Linked DNA regions of Rhinolophus ferrumequinum. The protein of the gene in region 2 interacts with the protein of the main gene of each other region in a pairwise test. Links are inferred from orthologs where the notes say so. Each region holds a gene or a part of one and is shown on either strand. Other genes may lie near its edges.

Region 1 (7,673 bases), on a different chromosome or scaffold from region 2:
AGTCCCTGAGAGCAATTCCAGGTCTATAGGCAAATAATGGGAACCTTAATCTCACAAGTTTTAGCCCTATGGTCAGATTAATCACAAATTTAGCACATTTTAAAATGGTTTCAATGTTTGACAATTCCATCTAATTCCACTGAAATGGAAATTTTAGTTTTTGAAATACAAATTTATTATACATTTAAACATATTGTTATTAATTTCATTTAAATAAGTCCCCCCAGGAGCCTAGTTATACCTACCACTTAAAGAATCTCTAAGTCAATTTCTTCAAATGGGTTCCAGAATTTTTGAATTATCATTAAGCAGAAAATACCAATCAAACTCTCTTATTATTAAAGCACCACAATATATTAAGACATATACATGAAATAATACATTTTGTAATTACTCTATTAGCATTGTATTTCTTATATAAATAATATTTCATGATTTTTTCACATTACAGTAAAACCAGAAAAATATTTTTTTCTAAAGTGTCAAGTAAAAACAGACTTTACTTTTATAATATTTTCTACTTAGTTTTCTTTTAAATGTTAAATATTTAAAAAGGTGAACAAAACAATCAATAGATAAAGCTATATCTTTTGCAATCTCAGAGTCATTTTAGTTTTAAACTCTCAAAGTTATGAGATCTGCTTGTGATTTTTCTGCATATCTTTTCAGTTCTGCTTCTAGAATTTCCCCCCATGTTTCTGCATCCATCGGGTACATGATTTTTTCTGGTAGGCTACCAGGAGAACATATGTTGCTGTATCTTCCGGTAAGCCATTCAAGTTTCACTTTACTCTTCTGGTAATTCCTCAGTAGTGTGTCCTGAAAGAGGTAAAACCATCATCGTCAAAGAATGTAGTAGGTGGTTTGTTAGTGAGTTTGTTTGAAACCAGAGAAGCTGATTGAGGCTAAAAAGATTAAGTATTTTGTTATGCACATATACTAATAAATGTGTGTGTGAGTGTGTGTGTGTGTGTGTAGCACCAGAGTTTGCTGGGGGTTTTGGATAATGTGGAGTGAAAACAAGTAGCCACTATCCTTCTGATTAACAGACAAAAATGCCCAAATTTAGGATTTAAAAAATGTAAAAGGATGGATGGGAGATACTGTGTTTTGCAGGAACAGAATAATTCACCAAGTCCAAAAGCCAACACACTCTGTATGTCATTCTGTTTATGAAATCCTAACTCTTCCAAATAAAAGGTAGAGTTGGTTCAAACCTACCACCATATTGTTAAGAACACTGCAGACCACAAAAAGGAAACTTACCCTCCAGGAAAAACCACTTTTTCGATCGTCATCTATTTCTCTTTTGCACACAACTCTCACAGCTAAGCAATGAGGCTCCCATAAGGAGTCATTGTTGCTTACTGCGGAATTCCACCTCTTGCATGTCATTGACGCCCTGCACAAACTCCGCATGTCCAGCTGACTGAAAATTTGTACGTAAAGTTCGTCAGGTAGCTGTTCAAAAAACTTATTTTGATACTCTTTGTTTTCCTTCTCAGCATCCAAAGAGTTCAATCCTATGTCAGAAACTCTTGAATTATTGTTCCTCTTCAAGTTCTTCTGCATAGCTTGATGTTTTAGTAAATTATCCTCATATGTCACCTAAAATGCAGAGTTTAAACATACTTAGTCTCTTCAGGTAAGACTACAGAACCCACTCTGAGCCAGATACTTTCTGGGAATGATTTAAAGAACTTTAACTTTCTCTACTTGAGATTCTCAATCTGTAAAATGGGTCCAATGATACTCCTCTTGTGTGCTCTTGCAAGGATTAACAGGGGTAACATGTAAACCATCTAGCCTCACATCCGAATTACACATTGGAGGCACTCAATGCATGTTACTTCTCTTCTTTTTAAAAATATTTTTAGTAAAAGGGTTTGTCTCTAAACATTAGTTTTTCCGCTCCCAAAGAACATTGTCTAAAAAAGAGAAGTGATTCTTCACAGACTATAATTTATTGAGTTTAGTAGAAATGACTATTGTGAAAACACATTTGACTCCAAATATTTATTGAAAATACCTTTGGAATGCAGACTGGTGCAGCTGTTATGGAAGGCAGTGTGGAGGTTCCTCAAAAAATTACGAATAGAATTACCATATGACCCAGCAATCCCTCCCCTGGGTATCTACCCAAAACATCTGAAAACGTTTATACATAAAGACACGTGTGCTCCAATGTTCACTGCAGCTTTGTTTACGGTGGCCAAGACATGGAAACAACCAAAATGTCCTTCGATAGATGAATGGATAAAGAAGTTGTGGTATATATACACAATGGAATACTATTCAGCAGTAAGAAAAGATGATATAGGAACATTTGTGACAACATGGATGGATCTTGAGAGTATAATGCCAAGTGAAATAAGTCAGACAGAAAAAGCAGAGAACCACATGATTTCACTGATATGTGGTAAACCAAAAACAACAAAAGAACAAGACAAACAAATGAGAAACAAAAACTCATAGACACAGACAATAGTTTAGTGGTTACCAGAGGGTAAGGGGGTGGGGGGTTGGAGATGAGGGTAAGAGGGATCAAATATATGGTGATGGAAGGAGAACTGACTCTGGGTGGTGAACACACAGTGGGATTTATAGATGATGTAATACAGAATTGTACACCTGAAATCTATGTAATTTTACTAACCATTGTCACCCCAATAAATAAAAAAATCATTAAAAAAAGAAAACACCTTTGGAAATGTATATAATTCAATTCTATTAAACTCCTGAACACTTGGTGTCTGTGGGAGCTGATGCCTTGTCATTAAGTTCTTTATCTACAATTTGTGACTTAATCATAAACCTGATGGACATTTAGTAGTTTATATAAGACTTGTTTATATATTTGTACCTAATGGGTAGATGCAAACCTTTGACATAAACACTATCTGAAATGGACAAGAGGTTGAGCTCAGTGTCATAATGACACAAAGTCTCAAATATTCTATTCAGTTAAGTTATAAGATTAGCTTCTAGAAATAGCCTCTTGAAGCTACCTACATACATAGTTAATTATGAACCAAGGATAATAGTCACTGAGGCCATCAAGCAACAGTAACTAAGAGCTATAGACAATGTTTATAATTCAGCAAGGTATAGCACGTGACTAAAGATTTAAAGTCCAGTTTCAGCTAATTTACCTAAGGGACATGGTGTAGGCTTCTGAAATCAATGGAAAACATGGAGCTATTTTTGCACATAAAGATAGCTTATACTTACTTACAAGCAGTTTATTCCATTTTGCACTTCTTAATAGGAAGTGGTGGTTTCGGAGGAGGAGTTTGAGATACAGCTAAAAACTTCTTTTAACTTAGCTCACCACAATTCCCGTCTAGATTAGCTCCTCAACCTGTATTTCTGGATTTGCCAAGACCAATTGCTCCCATTCATTTGGTTGTGTATGACCCAAATTAACCGTGTTGGTTAGAACTTTAATGTCTGTCTGTGTTCATCAGAGGACTTCCTCTTTGGGGAAGAAAGCAAACTGCAAAAACAAGTTCATGAGTCAACCGCAAGTTTTTGCCAGGCACCTCCCCTCTCTCACCATCAATACAAACCAAAGCCAAACTACCATATTCTTGAAAAGACTCCCTTTAGTAGAACGTTATTGTTTGTTACTACTCCCATGATCTCAGTGGGGAATAAAATGCGTCCTCTCCGTTACAGGTACTCCACAGAAGACCGATGAAGGCTTTTGAATCTAACAATCGGGGGTGCCTCGGTGAGGTTCCTAAAACCCCAGTGGGCATCTTTCTTCTTCTAAACCCAATTTTGTCTGGATGCCTGCAAAACTATCCCTTTTCTTCCTCCTTTTGAGGAACCAAGCCGCGCTGCCAAATTACCTCTAGTTAGGGAAGAGCTCGCCCCAGGTGTCACACGGAGGGAGGGATCCGGAGGCAGCTCGGACCTCCCGGCTCTCAGGGAGCCCCTAACCTGTCCAGACCCCTCAGGTCGGAAGGAATGACCCCGAGTCCCATCTGAGCCACCCTTCTTGCGTGCCTCGCCCAGGCTGCAGCTGCCGGAGTTCAAAGAACACCGGGCACTGACAAATGAACAATAACAACTCTGTCATTTCAGGTCCGCGCCGCTGAGCAGAGGTTGCGATGGCGCTGGGTCCGGGCCCCAGAGCTTGCTTGCCCGATGTCAGCGGGAAGGGAAGAGCCTCCTACCTGCTGGGCTCTGGCAGCCTCTTCTCCGGCGATTTACATCCTCTGGCCTTTGAGGCATTCCCCACACACAGTCCCTCTGATTCCACCCACCCTAGCCCCACCTCTTGTTGACTCGGATTTCGCGCAGGCGTAGAGAGGAGCGCGCATTACCTTTCGGGATTGGTAGTTTTACCAGGGGGCCTCAGCTCGGCAAAGGAGGAGAAGGAAGGCGCTATGGACTACAAGGTCCGGCGTCCTCCAAGACGGGAGGGCGGGGAGAATGATGGGGGGGGTGGTCTTAACCGGGGCTTTTAAACACTAGTTTGAGAAGGTGTGATAGGGGAATCCCCGAGTGCGTCACAGGTACGAGTGGAGGGGCGGGGCTGGGGAACCTGTTTCTGGGGTTCCCTACTGCGCCGGGACTCGACGCGCCCGAGCCGAGTCTTTGCTTTCCTCCCCTAGTGTTTTTTCCGGGCACCTTTGTAGGCCCCGCGCGTGACCAGGGAAGGCGGAATCGGCTGCGGGGATCGACTCCTTGCGAAGGGGCCTAAGCCTCGCCGCCATGTCCGGGGGCTTTGAGCTGCAGCCGCAGGACGGCGGCCCCCGGCTGGCCCTGGAGCCCGGGGAGACGGTGATTGGCCGCGGGCCGCTGCTGGGAGTAAGTGTGGCAGGGGGCTGGGCAAGACCCGGAGAGCCGGGCTAGTCCTTGCTGGCTCCTGAGGCCCAACTCCCCGTCCTGGCCCGATTCCCCACCACGCCAGCCCTGCCTGTCTGGATTGTAGGGGTTTGGGGGCAGCACGTTTTTCACTCAACTCGAATCAACTCTCAAACGTTTCCTTTTGTTGCTTTCAAAAAGAAACTGATCAGTGTTATCATCGTTATAATCGTACCCAGAGGTGGGCAAACTATGGCCCAAACCAGCCTGTTTTGGTATGGGCCCGAGTACGAAGAATGATTTTTAAGTTTTAAAATGTAAAGGAAAAAACAACAACCGATTTGCCTTTCAGGGAGAATAATTGCTCCACAGGTTGTGGATATTGTCCCTTGGCCTGACAAGCCACAATATTTACAGTAGTATCTGGCCCTTTACAGAAGAAGTTTGCCAACCTCTGATTTTATCTTTTCTAGAATAATTTCTTTTAAAGCTTTTGACCTCTTTTGTGGGACTGCGTGGCCTTACTTTTATTGTAATAGTCTTTTTGAGTCGTATCAGTCGCTAACCCTTATGTAGTGTGTAGTAAAAACCATATGAGTTAGGTCATTGTTCAGACGAGAAAATTGAGCTACAGATGGGTTATTTAAAGGGCACACATAAGCTTTTGGACACATAGTGCCACTAAGCTATGTATTTATTCTCTACCTTCTTTGGCATGTTTAGTAGGAGTTAGGAAATTGGCCTGTTGCAGTTTGGAGTTTTATAGATCTGTCTATATATGGATGTGTATATTGTTTTCTTAACATTCAGCATTTCTTTTTCAGTGCCCAGTTTGTGTAACACATTTGTAGATCCTAGCACTGTGGGATGTGCAAATATGAATGAGACATGGGTCCCAGCCCTCTAGGAGTTTTCTCTTGGACTGTGGAGACAAACCTGTGTCAGTGAGCTAATGCCAGGGAGTAAGGAGTGTGGACAATTTATTATCCTGGTTAACAGCAGTGTCTAAATGGAACCATTGGTGTTAACCTTGGGATCCTTCTCCAAGCAGGAAAAGGAGTGGGCATTGAAAGTTGTAATTAGGAAGTCAGTCCTAAAGAGGGGTGTGTGTGTGTGTGTGTGTGTGTGTGTGTGTATGGGTACATATATGTATATGTAGTAAGGTTAATTAAGAAAGTTAAAGTATACCTGCTATTTATTTATTTTTTTTTGCTGGGCAAGTAATTACTTAAATGTTTAAATAACATTATTATTTTTCTCCTAAACATTTGAAGGAACTGCCTGGGGCGGGGGAGGGTAGGGGGGGCGGTTTGTTCTCTCCTCCCTTCCCTTTCTCTCTCTTTATCTAAGTTAGAAACTTAAGTATGTGTTTCATCTAGAAATCTTTTGACTGGTGACTAAAAAGTTTTGATTTGCTTAACAAATTGTATCACCAATACAGAGTACTATAGATCTGGTTAAAAGATCGATGAGTTGTAGGCTTATGTTTTATCAACATGCCAACAGGTTATAGACCTTTTTATTATTTATAGCTTGATCTTTTGTGTTACAGGTTTGTTATTGTGAGATGAGGCTATTTGGTTTCTGGTTTTGAAAATGGTAAGGAGTAGAAAGTCAATTATCTGGTCTGGATTTTGCTTTTCCTTTTCAAATAATCATTCAGTGATGAGAAACTATTGCCAAGTTTGGCAGATATTAGAAGTGGTTATGAACGATACCCTCCACGCATTGAAGGAAAAGTTTGAAGTGCAAACAAATCATCTTGAGGTTTTTAAGAATTTGGAGCTGACAGAGGTATGTGTTTCTTCTCTGCAGTGGTTAAACCCAACATGAGGGCGGTTTTTTCAAACAACAGCAATTTCAGTCAGGATTCTTTTTCTTTTTTCTTTTTTTGGTAGTGTGAGAGAGAGCAAAGACTTAGTTCTAAGTGGGAAAACTCAGGAAGTTCATTGTAAATTAGTATCCATCTGAAATGATTAATTATAATAAGTATGATTTTTGAGCTCTTACTTAACTAGCCATGTTTTTTGGAGACAAGTTTCACAAAACTATGGTCCCACAAGCATACAGGTTTATAATTTCAACATGTAAAACAGTCTTAGTGGTAAAACAATTTGACAACGAGAATGTCTTTATATCTTTACAGTGGCAGGAAAAACACTAATAGATAACAGAGCAGAGTGAATTTAATTTTTCATTGTGCCCTTTGCTTTAGTATGAGTCATCAGCAAACCCAAGGTCGTTGTTTACTTACTAGGTTGTAATTCTGTCATGATCTGTACAAATTAAAAGGGTTTACAGCAGGATGAATCTCCAGGGAATTATTATCCTGGGTGAAAACAGCCAATCCCAAAGGTTATATATTGTATGATTTCATTTACATGACATTATTGAAATGACAAAATTATAAAAATGGAGAACAGGCTAGTGGTTGCAGGGGTTAAGGAAGGGGGGAGGACAGCAGGAGGGAATTGGGTATGACTATAAAACAGCAATCGAGGGGATTTTTGTGGTGATGGAAATGTTTATATCTCAACCTTATCAATATCAATATTTGATTGTTTTGCAAGATGTTACTGCAGGGGGAAACTGGGTAAATGGTGTGAGAGATCTTTATTATCTATTTCAACTAGATGTGAATCTACAACTATCTTAAATAAATTTAATTAAAAAGAAGATTTTTACAATATAGCATCTCAAGCAACAGAGTACTTTTAGGCCAAACTATTGCTTTATGGTTTTTCTTTAATTAAAGCTGAAAAGTTATTATACTCTTAAGTGAAAACTACTGTTTCTGATTTCAAATTTTCTTCATTCTGTTTTGGTAGCAGGGATTATATGACATTCCTTTATGAGCT
Region 2 (7,555 bases):
CTCCCACTCGGGAGCTGCAACCTCTTCTCCTGCCTCAAATAAACTATCCTCTTTTTAAAACTTTTTGCCTCTTCCTGGTCCCTGTGTCCATTCTTCGGCTTCACAAGATGGGATCCCGGCCCACACCCAGAAACTGCCGGCAGATCCAATATCATCTACATCATTGTCTCATATTCTTACGAAATCCCCGTAAGTACAGTTTGGTCATTAATGTCTTATTTTAATTTATAAGTCCAGCCATTAGAAATTTCTAAGAGTAGGAGGAAAAATTTGTTCCTCCCCCACACAAGAAAGAATAGGGAAAAAAAAAAAGAAATTGGGATTTGGAGCACAGAGAACTCCTTGTGGATATTTGTTTAGAAGAGCAAATAAATGGGTTGGAGTAGAGAAAGGTTATTTCTTAAGGCAAAAGAAATAACATGCAAGTCAAAAACAAACTTTTATGTATCTTAATCTAAGACCCATGAGGAAAGAGAATAAAAAAGAGGTGAGGAAAGGACAAACACTAGAATACAAAGAACCTCAACCTAAGACTATAAAGGCTATTTGAGGATCAGAGAAAACAAGCTATTAAGTAAAACGATTGTCTTTTAATATATGTGACTATCAGTGAATAAGAAAAGGGGAAACCAAATAAAAGGAAACCTTCAACACTATCCATACTATGTGCAAAGTAAGAAGAGAAAAGGGGGAGAAAGTAGTCTGGTGGTATAAAAGCAATACCAATTTAATTTAAAAACCTTTTATTGCATGCTAACATGGAAGTCAATCAGCTGTACATCAATATCCCTCCCTTCAAGGAGTTTTTAATTTAGTGAAACAAAAAGCCAGGCACACAGCAATAGGCAATGCTTACTGAGTGCTTACCGCATGCCAAATACTTTTTACTTGTATTAACGTATTTAACCTTTGTAATACTGGAGAAGCCTATGCAATCTCTCCACAGAAAAATATAAATATGTGCTATTTTTACATAAAATTCTAGGGAACCCATGAAACCAAAGTTTAAAATACTCTCTAGATGCAGGAGAGGCAATAATTTTTGAACAAAGGAATGACACCGTCAGAGTTTAGTTTTGTTAAGAAAATGATCTGAGATGCTTTAGTAATAAATGAGAATCCATAGCAGAGCTGCCAGAAAGGAGATTTCTAGTTAGTGATGTGAGCTAGTACTTAAATGAGTTTATTAGCAGTGAAAACCAAAAGCAGGGGGTTTATGTGCTTAACCACCAAGTAGCTCCATGACAACCTCCCCAGACTCTCACCACAGATCAGATTACCTTTGTTTGCTGTTACATGAAAATAAATAAATACATAATAAACCATTGTGTTATTCTATGGATAACTTTAAAATAACTGGCAAACATTGTTCTTTACTAGTTTGAAGCTGAAATATATAAAACTTCATGGCCTAAAATTAATTATAATCCATAAATATGGTAAATCGATTCTGGTCTTTAACAACTCCAGTTTCCTGGTGCTCTTGATAGGTAGCTTCACAGCTTCACACAGAAGTATATTACCCTAAGTGTTCATAAAGATCCAAATGATCTTCACATGAAAGCAAAAGCAGTTATAAAGTCTACAGACACATTTATTACGTTAGAAGCCAGCTTGATGAGTCGCACAACATAATTTCCAAGGTTAATTTGGAAATTATTTCCTAAGCCAAGATTAATTAGAATGGCCAGACTTAGGTATAATGTAAAGCAATTACAAGGGAGAGCATTAAATGGCTTTTTTGATAGGAGGAACGTACAGTACATTTTGATACATTTCTTATTCCCCTCTCGCAGGAACATCCCCTCTCGCAGGAACATTAAATTTCTTGGAGAACATTAAATTTCTCCAAGAGGCCATCTTTATTCCTCTGCTGCACTCTCATTTTCCCTTGAAGAAAGCTCAGAAAATACTTCCTAAAAGTGTATATTTGACCAACTCTTGACAATTCAATAGATTCAAAGTAGTTACAATTTTTTGTGTTTTTTTTTTTTGTCTGTTGTAGTGAACAATGTAATCACAGATAGCAGCAATCCAAATGTTTAATCACCGTGTTGCAGTAAATATAGAAGGGTCTCATAGTTTGGCCATATACACCACATAAATCAACAACTCATATGAGTTTCCCTTCCTTATTTTTTTCAATTCACTTTCTGAGTTAATAAAGTATTTAAAAAACAACATTCTGAAAAGAACCCTCTGCGGCCTGAGAAAAAATTAACTATACACTTGGAGCCAAAGAGTTGCCATAATTTTCTGATTCACTTAAGGGGACAAAAGTATAAACTCTGCGCCTCCGACTTCTAGAAACTCCCAAGAACTATGCAAACTGAACATGTCAACGTGTCTGTTTCTCCATCTAGAATATACAAAGACAAAAACGGGGAGGGGGTGGAGGGCGGGGATAGAGCTTCGTCTAATGGGATTTTAAAATTAGAGGAAGTTAAATAACACTACTGATTTAAAGAAAAAGCTGGCATGTGATTTGTCTTGCTGATGGATCACTTCTCTAGAGAAATAATTACTGAACTCAGGAAAGGGCTTTTCCTTTTCATTTATTACTACAGAAAGTTTTTTCCTGATCCCAAAGGGCCGAGAATGTTTCAGCCCCAGATGCAACCCACTGACAGTGTGCAACAAATTTGGGATTGGGAGAGAGAAAAGGCCAGTGTTAGGGAAATGATCAAACAGCTTATCAACACAACCATCCAGACTCAAGTGTCCTCCTAATCCCAGAATTTTACAAGGAATTTCAAAGGCGCTTTGCAATCCAAAGAACCCCTCGGGTGCAACGGGAGAAACTGAAAAGGACGCCCAGCAGGTGCAGGCCCTGTGGTTAATGCCAGGGAACCCAAGCCATCTCCGACAGGCAACAAACCGAGGGCCCAGTAGCTTACACATTGAGGGGGATTAGAGCTGGGAAATGTCCACGCACTACGGAGTTCCAGTGGGAAATAACAGGGGGAAAAAATTAGAAAGAAAAGGGGTGGGACGAAAGAACAAGAAAAAAAGAAGGACCGGACTACAGTTAATATTGTACAGAGGTACTCCCCACTTCCGAAACCTACCTGTCAGTGACTCCACTTCCGGTCTCCTCCAAAAGGCCCGCTCCCACAGGCTGACGTCCCGCAGCCAATCAGAGCGTCATCTACTTCCGCACGGTAGCATGATGTCTTTTAAACCCGCCTTTTCCGATAGAGAGGAGCCTATCCTAGCGTCTGAGTCGCGCGGCTCAGGAGGAGGTGCCCTGACAGGTCCAACCGGACCGCGGGAGGGAGCGAGAAGGGCAGGCGGGGAGTGCACGCCTTTTCCGCCCTGGGCCCGGAAGGGTGATGTGGCTGAGGCTTCGCCGGCCTCACTATGGTAAGAACCGGGACTGTGGGATCGCGGTTGAACTTTGTAAAGGGTCGGTGGGCCCGAACTAGGACTGAAGGGTTGGGCGGCAGCAGTGGGTGCGCGGGCCAGGGAATCCTGTCACTAACTTGATTTTGCGGGGGTGCGGAGGATGCGCAGGCCTTGGAGCCATGTGGCCTCTGCATGCCCAACCCGGGAGAACCAGGACAGACTGCCTAAGACCCCGGGGTCGCGGAGCCCATCCTGTCCTGCGGAGCCAGTTCTTGACTTGTTAGGAAGAAATGTGCTGGTTTGGCTTAACCCGTCGGTTTCATAGACTCAGCGGTCCTTGACCCTTTGAGGCCTTACTAGTCGAATTTAAGCTTGTTTTTTTTTTTTTTTTTTTGCCTCGCCTTATCTCCCCATGGGCCTCACCCAGGTGTTTATTTCATTGTCCAGTACACCCCAAATTTTAGGCCTCTCCTTCATTCTCTCAACCCTAAAGATGCTATTTTACAAACTATACATTTTAACGATTGGCGTTCTCTGCAGAGGTGGTTTCTCTTCTAGGAGCTAAAGGTAATTGAAGTGGTGCCTGGCCTCCAGCCGTCCTCCCGTTTCCCACACTCAGTTAAGGTTAAATGTGTTATTTTGTATTACTGCAGATTCTTTTGACAGTTTGGGCCGGCTTGGAAAAGTTTGAAATAAGTCACAAAAGTTCGCAAAAGAATGCGTACGTCACCAGGTTGAAAAAAAAAGAAGTAACCCAGCCTGGTCAGAGGACAGAGGTGGTAGAAGTAGTGATAGTATAATCTCCCAGGCTTTGTTATAGTAAATGCCACCAGCCTTTACACTGGGCCCTCATGGTGAATTTATGAAGTTCACGTCCCAAATGTATTTATGAGCATATTTCTGGGGAAAGGATATGTGCCTTCTATTGTTGTATCGAAAGCAACCATGATACCCAAAATGCTGAAAAGTTGCTGTGCTTGGGTTGCCAGATGTTCCTGCAGCACAAAGCCCTTAGACATTTAATTGAAAACTCATTACTTGTTGCTTGCTTTATTCAGCTGCTTTGATTATAGTGGGGTTTAAGTCACAGACTTTTCCCTGGAGAAGTTTACCACTTAACGAAGAGATGGCAGTTTGTGGCAGGTTATTCCTTCCTTGGCCATAAATATTTTGCAGCTTCTTTCCCCACCTATCATATGATAGGTGCTCTTAGAGTATCACTAGTGAGCGGTTACTTAACTTAGAAAATGTGGTTCCTTCTTCAATGTAAAAAGAGTAGAGGGACTATTACTCTTAATTCTTGCATATCTTCTAGAAGCTGAAATTGAATTATTTTACTCCTAGTACAAGTCAAAGATATATTCTTTTCATCATCAGATTATCTTATGTACTAGCTGAAAGGAAGACAGATACTGTAATTAAAATCAATAGTGTTTAAACTGGCCATATTTGTTTTTTTCAAATGTAACAATAGTAGCTCTCATTTATTAGCACTCGATATATGCCAGGCTGTGTTTGAAAAACTTCTGAGTAGATGTTTACATGTGAAGGAAGTCAGGGAGCAAAAAGACTGACATGCTTGGAGTCACACACCTAATAGGTAGTGAAGCCAGGGCTCAAAGTTACCTTAATGTCCAGGTGCCAGCAATGTTCAGGCTGTTGTTAATAGAACAACATAACCGATATGTCTTAGTGATCTGTTGCCCTCAACTATAATATGCCGATCAGACATGGGTGGATAATAGAAACTGCCAGGTGATTAATTTTTCATTCCTGCTCTGTTCCTGTGAGCTTAGGATGTCAGCATTTTAGAGAAAGTACACTGTAGTTGGAAGAACTGCACAATGCAGTTTCTTTTTGAGTTTCCTTCTAAACTTGATACACAGGTGTTTGCGAGATAACCCAATAATAATGACTCAAATCTGAACTACCGTATTTTAATGAATTCAGTTTTTTAAATGCATTTCAAGGCCATCAGATGTTTATCAGCAGTAACAGTGTACAACTATCAGACATAAACAGTCTTGACAATGAGTTAATACTTATGAGTTAATACTTTTGACAAATTCAGAATGCCTTGTTCTCCCTAACCCTTTACATCCTTCAAGATTCATCTGAAATTTATCTCTTCCCAAAAAGCCTTCCTTGCCCCTTCTCTTTCTCTACTGCTTTTAGGTATCCGTTTGAGCATCCATAGTCCGTGTCTATACCTCCAGCATCCCTCTAGCATTGCACTTAACACAAGAAAGAAAGCAATAGGGTCTTGCCTATATTTCTCTCCTCTCTGGGCAGAGTTCTTAAAGTAGAAACTAAGACTTTTAATCTACATCACAGTGTCAATTAGACTTAGTACTCCAATGAATGAGTCTGGAGATACAAAGTCATATAAGATATTCTCAGTGTCTTCAAGGACTTCACAGTCCAGTTGGGAAGATTATTACATAACTAAATTCCACGTGTTATCTGCTAGCATGAAGAAAGACAGTATATGTAGTGGAAAGACCATATAGACCATAAAGGCTTTATACTGAGCCAAATAGGGTCAGAATCATTGCCAGTTCCCATCTTTTACTTGGTGAACCTAAGCAAGTTTATTTTCATTTTACTGTGTTGGTATCTTAAGTGGTGTACAGATAATCTCATTTAATGCTCACAAACCCTGCAGAGTTTGAGCTATTGCCCACATTTTATAGTTAAACCAGGGGTGTCCAAACTGCGGCCCTCAGGCCAACTGCGGCCCGCAATCCATTGTTAATTGGCCCGCAGCAAATTCCAAAAATATATTTAGTTTATTTAAATAAACCAGGTGAGGCAATACGTACTTCACCTCGAGTGAGTGGCCCGGCTGTTTGTGTATTTTACCGCATATGGCCCCTGGTAAAAAACATTGAAAACAGTTTGGACACCCCTGAGTTAAACTGATTAGGGATTAGAGAAGGAATCATTAGCTAGATTAGGAAAGCAATCATTAGCTAGAACTGGGACAGTGTCCTCTATCCTGTAGATAAATCAAGGAAATGGCCGTTGTGGAGCCAAAGGGCATCTTGTTGAATACTTGCTTGGAGACTGGCAGGAATAGAAGTTCAGCAGTGAAATGACGAGATGAGACTAGAAATATTGGGGCCAGATCTTGAAGGGGGTTTTGCCATATTAAGGACTTTGTTTTGATGACATTTAATTGCTTACCTGGTAAACACTTTGAACAGGCAAAAGAATAGTGTGCTTTTAAGGAAACCAGCTGGTAACAAACCAGCTGGAGGGTATATTTAAATAGAGGAAGATTAAAATTTGGGAGACCAGTTTAGAAACAAATGGCAGTGACACAGATAGTAGATGATCGAATGCCTCAACTCTTGACAATAGTACCATGTTTACCCGAAAATAAGACCTAACCGGAAAATAAGCCCTAGCATGATTTTTCAGGATGACATTCCCTGAACATAAGCCCTAATGCGTCTTTTGGAGCAAAAACTAATATAAGATCAGGTCTTATGTTCAGGGAAACACAGTAGTTAGGCAAAAAGAAGGGATAAATAAGGAAATCATTTTGAAGGTGCTTCGTGAAGGTCGATGAAGCACAACTCCAGTTTTTAAAGACTTACATTATTGACTACATTGCTTATGAAGAAAAAGGCACAGAAGAGTTAACTGCCTTGCCCAAGATCACACTGCTTATATTTCACAAAGCTAAGACTTAACAGATTTGTCACCAAATCTTAGGCTCTTTTTATTATACAACAATGCCGTTAGTGCCACAAGAAATTCAAGAAGAAAAGAAACCTTTGTTTGCCTCAGTGGTTTGGGGATAGACGGAGTTGGTTAAGATGATAATTCTGTTGCTACTATTACTTTTGCACCATTAACACACAGAAAAATCACAATAGAAAGGCAGATATCTTTTTGGTATTATAAGACTAGCTTTGACCTCATAAACCCATGACAGGGTTCCATGAACCACACTTTGAAAACCACTGAAGTGGATGCTGGTCCATAGTGGTTGTAGCCCTGACTACAATAAACACTTCCAGAGAGCTTTGAGAAACTGTAGATGTCCACTCTATTCAATCCGAATTTCGGGGCATTGTTTTTAAAAACTCCAAATGTTCATGAGTAGCCAGGGTTCATAACCATATTTGACTCCATGTATTTGGAAGCTTTTCCATTCTTACTAGTCTTTTTCTCTTCTGATCGCGTGGTCAAAGTAATTTTT

What was found.
Region 1: the proteins of XRCC4 (region 2) and APLF interact in binary tests that used the Homo sapiens proteins (3 or more experiments, as listed by UniProt). The link is inferred for Rhinolophus ferrumequinum from reciprocal best matches to the Homo sapiens genes XRCC4 and APLF.

Annotation. Positions count from the first base shown.
Region 1 is NC_046296.1:22,141,561-22,149,233, reverse strand, and holds the start of APLF (aprataxin and PNK-like factor), read left to right. Parts: upstream 1-4,516; 5' UTR 4,517-4,722; coding exon 4,723-4,818; intron 4,819-7,673. Other genes in the region: FBXO48 (F-box only protein 48), read right to left, coding at 616-819, 1,267-1,572. UniProt on the Homo sapiens protein: Histone chaperone involved in single-strand and double-strand DNA break repair.
Region 2 is NC_046290.1:53,739,013-53,746,567, reverse strand, and holds the start of XRCC4 (DNA repair protein XRCC4), read right to left. Parts: upstream 3,131-7,555; 5' UTR 3,069-3,130; intron 1-3,068. Other genes in the region: TMEM167A (protein kish-A), read left to right, coding at 3,361-3,363.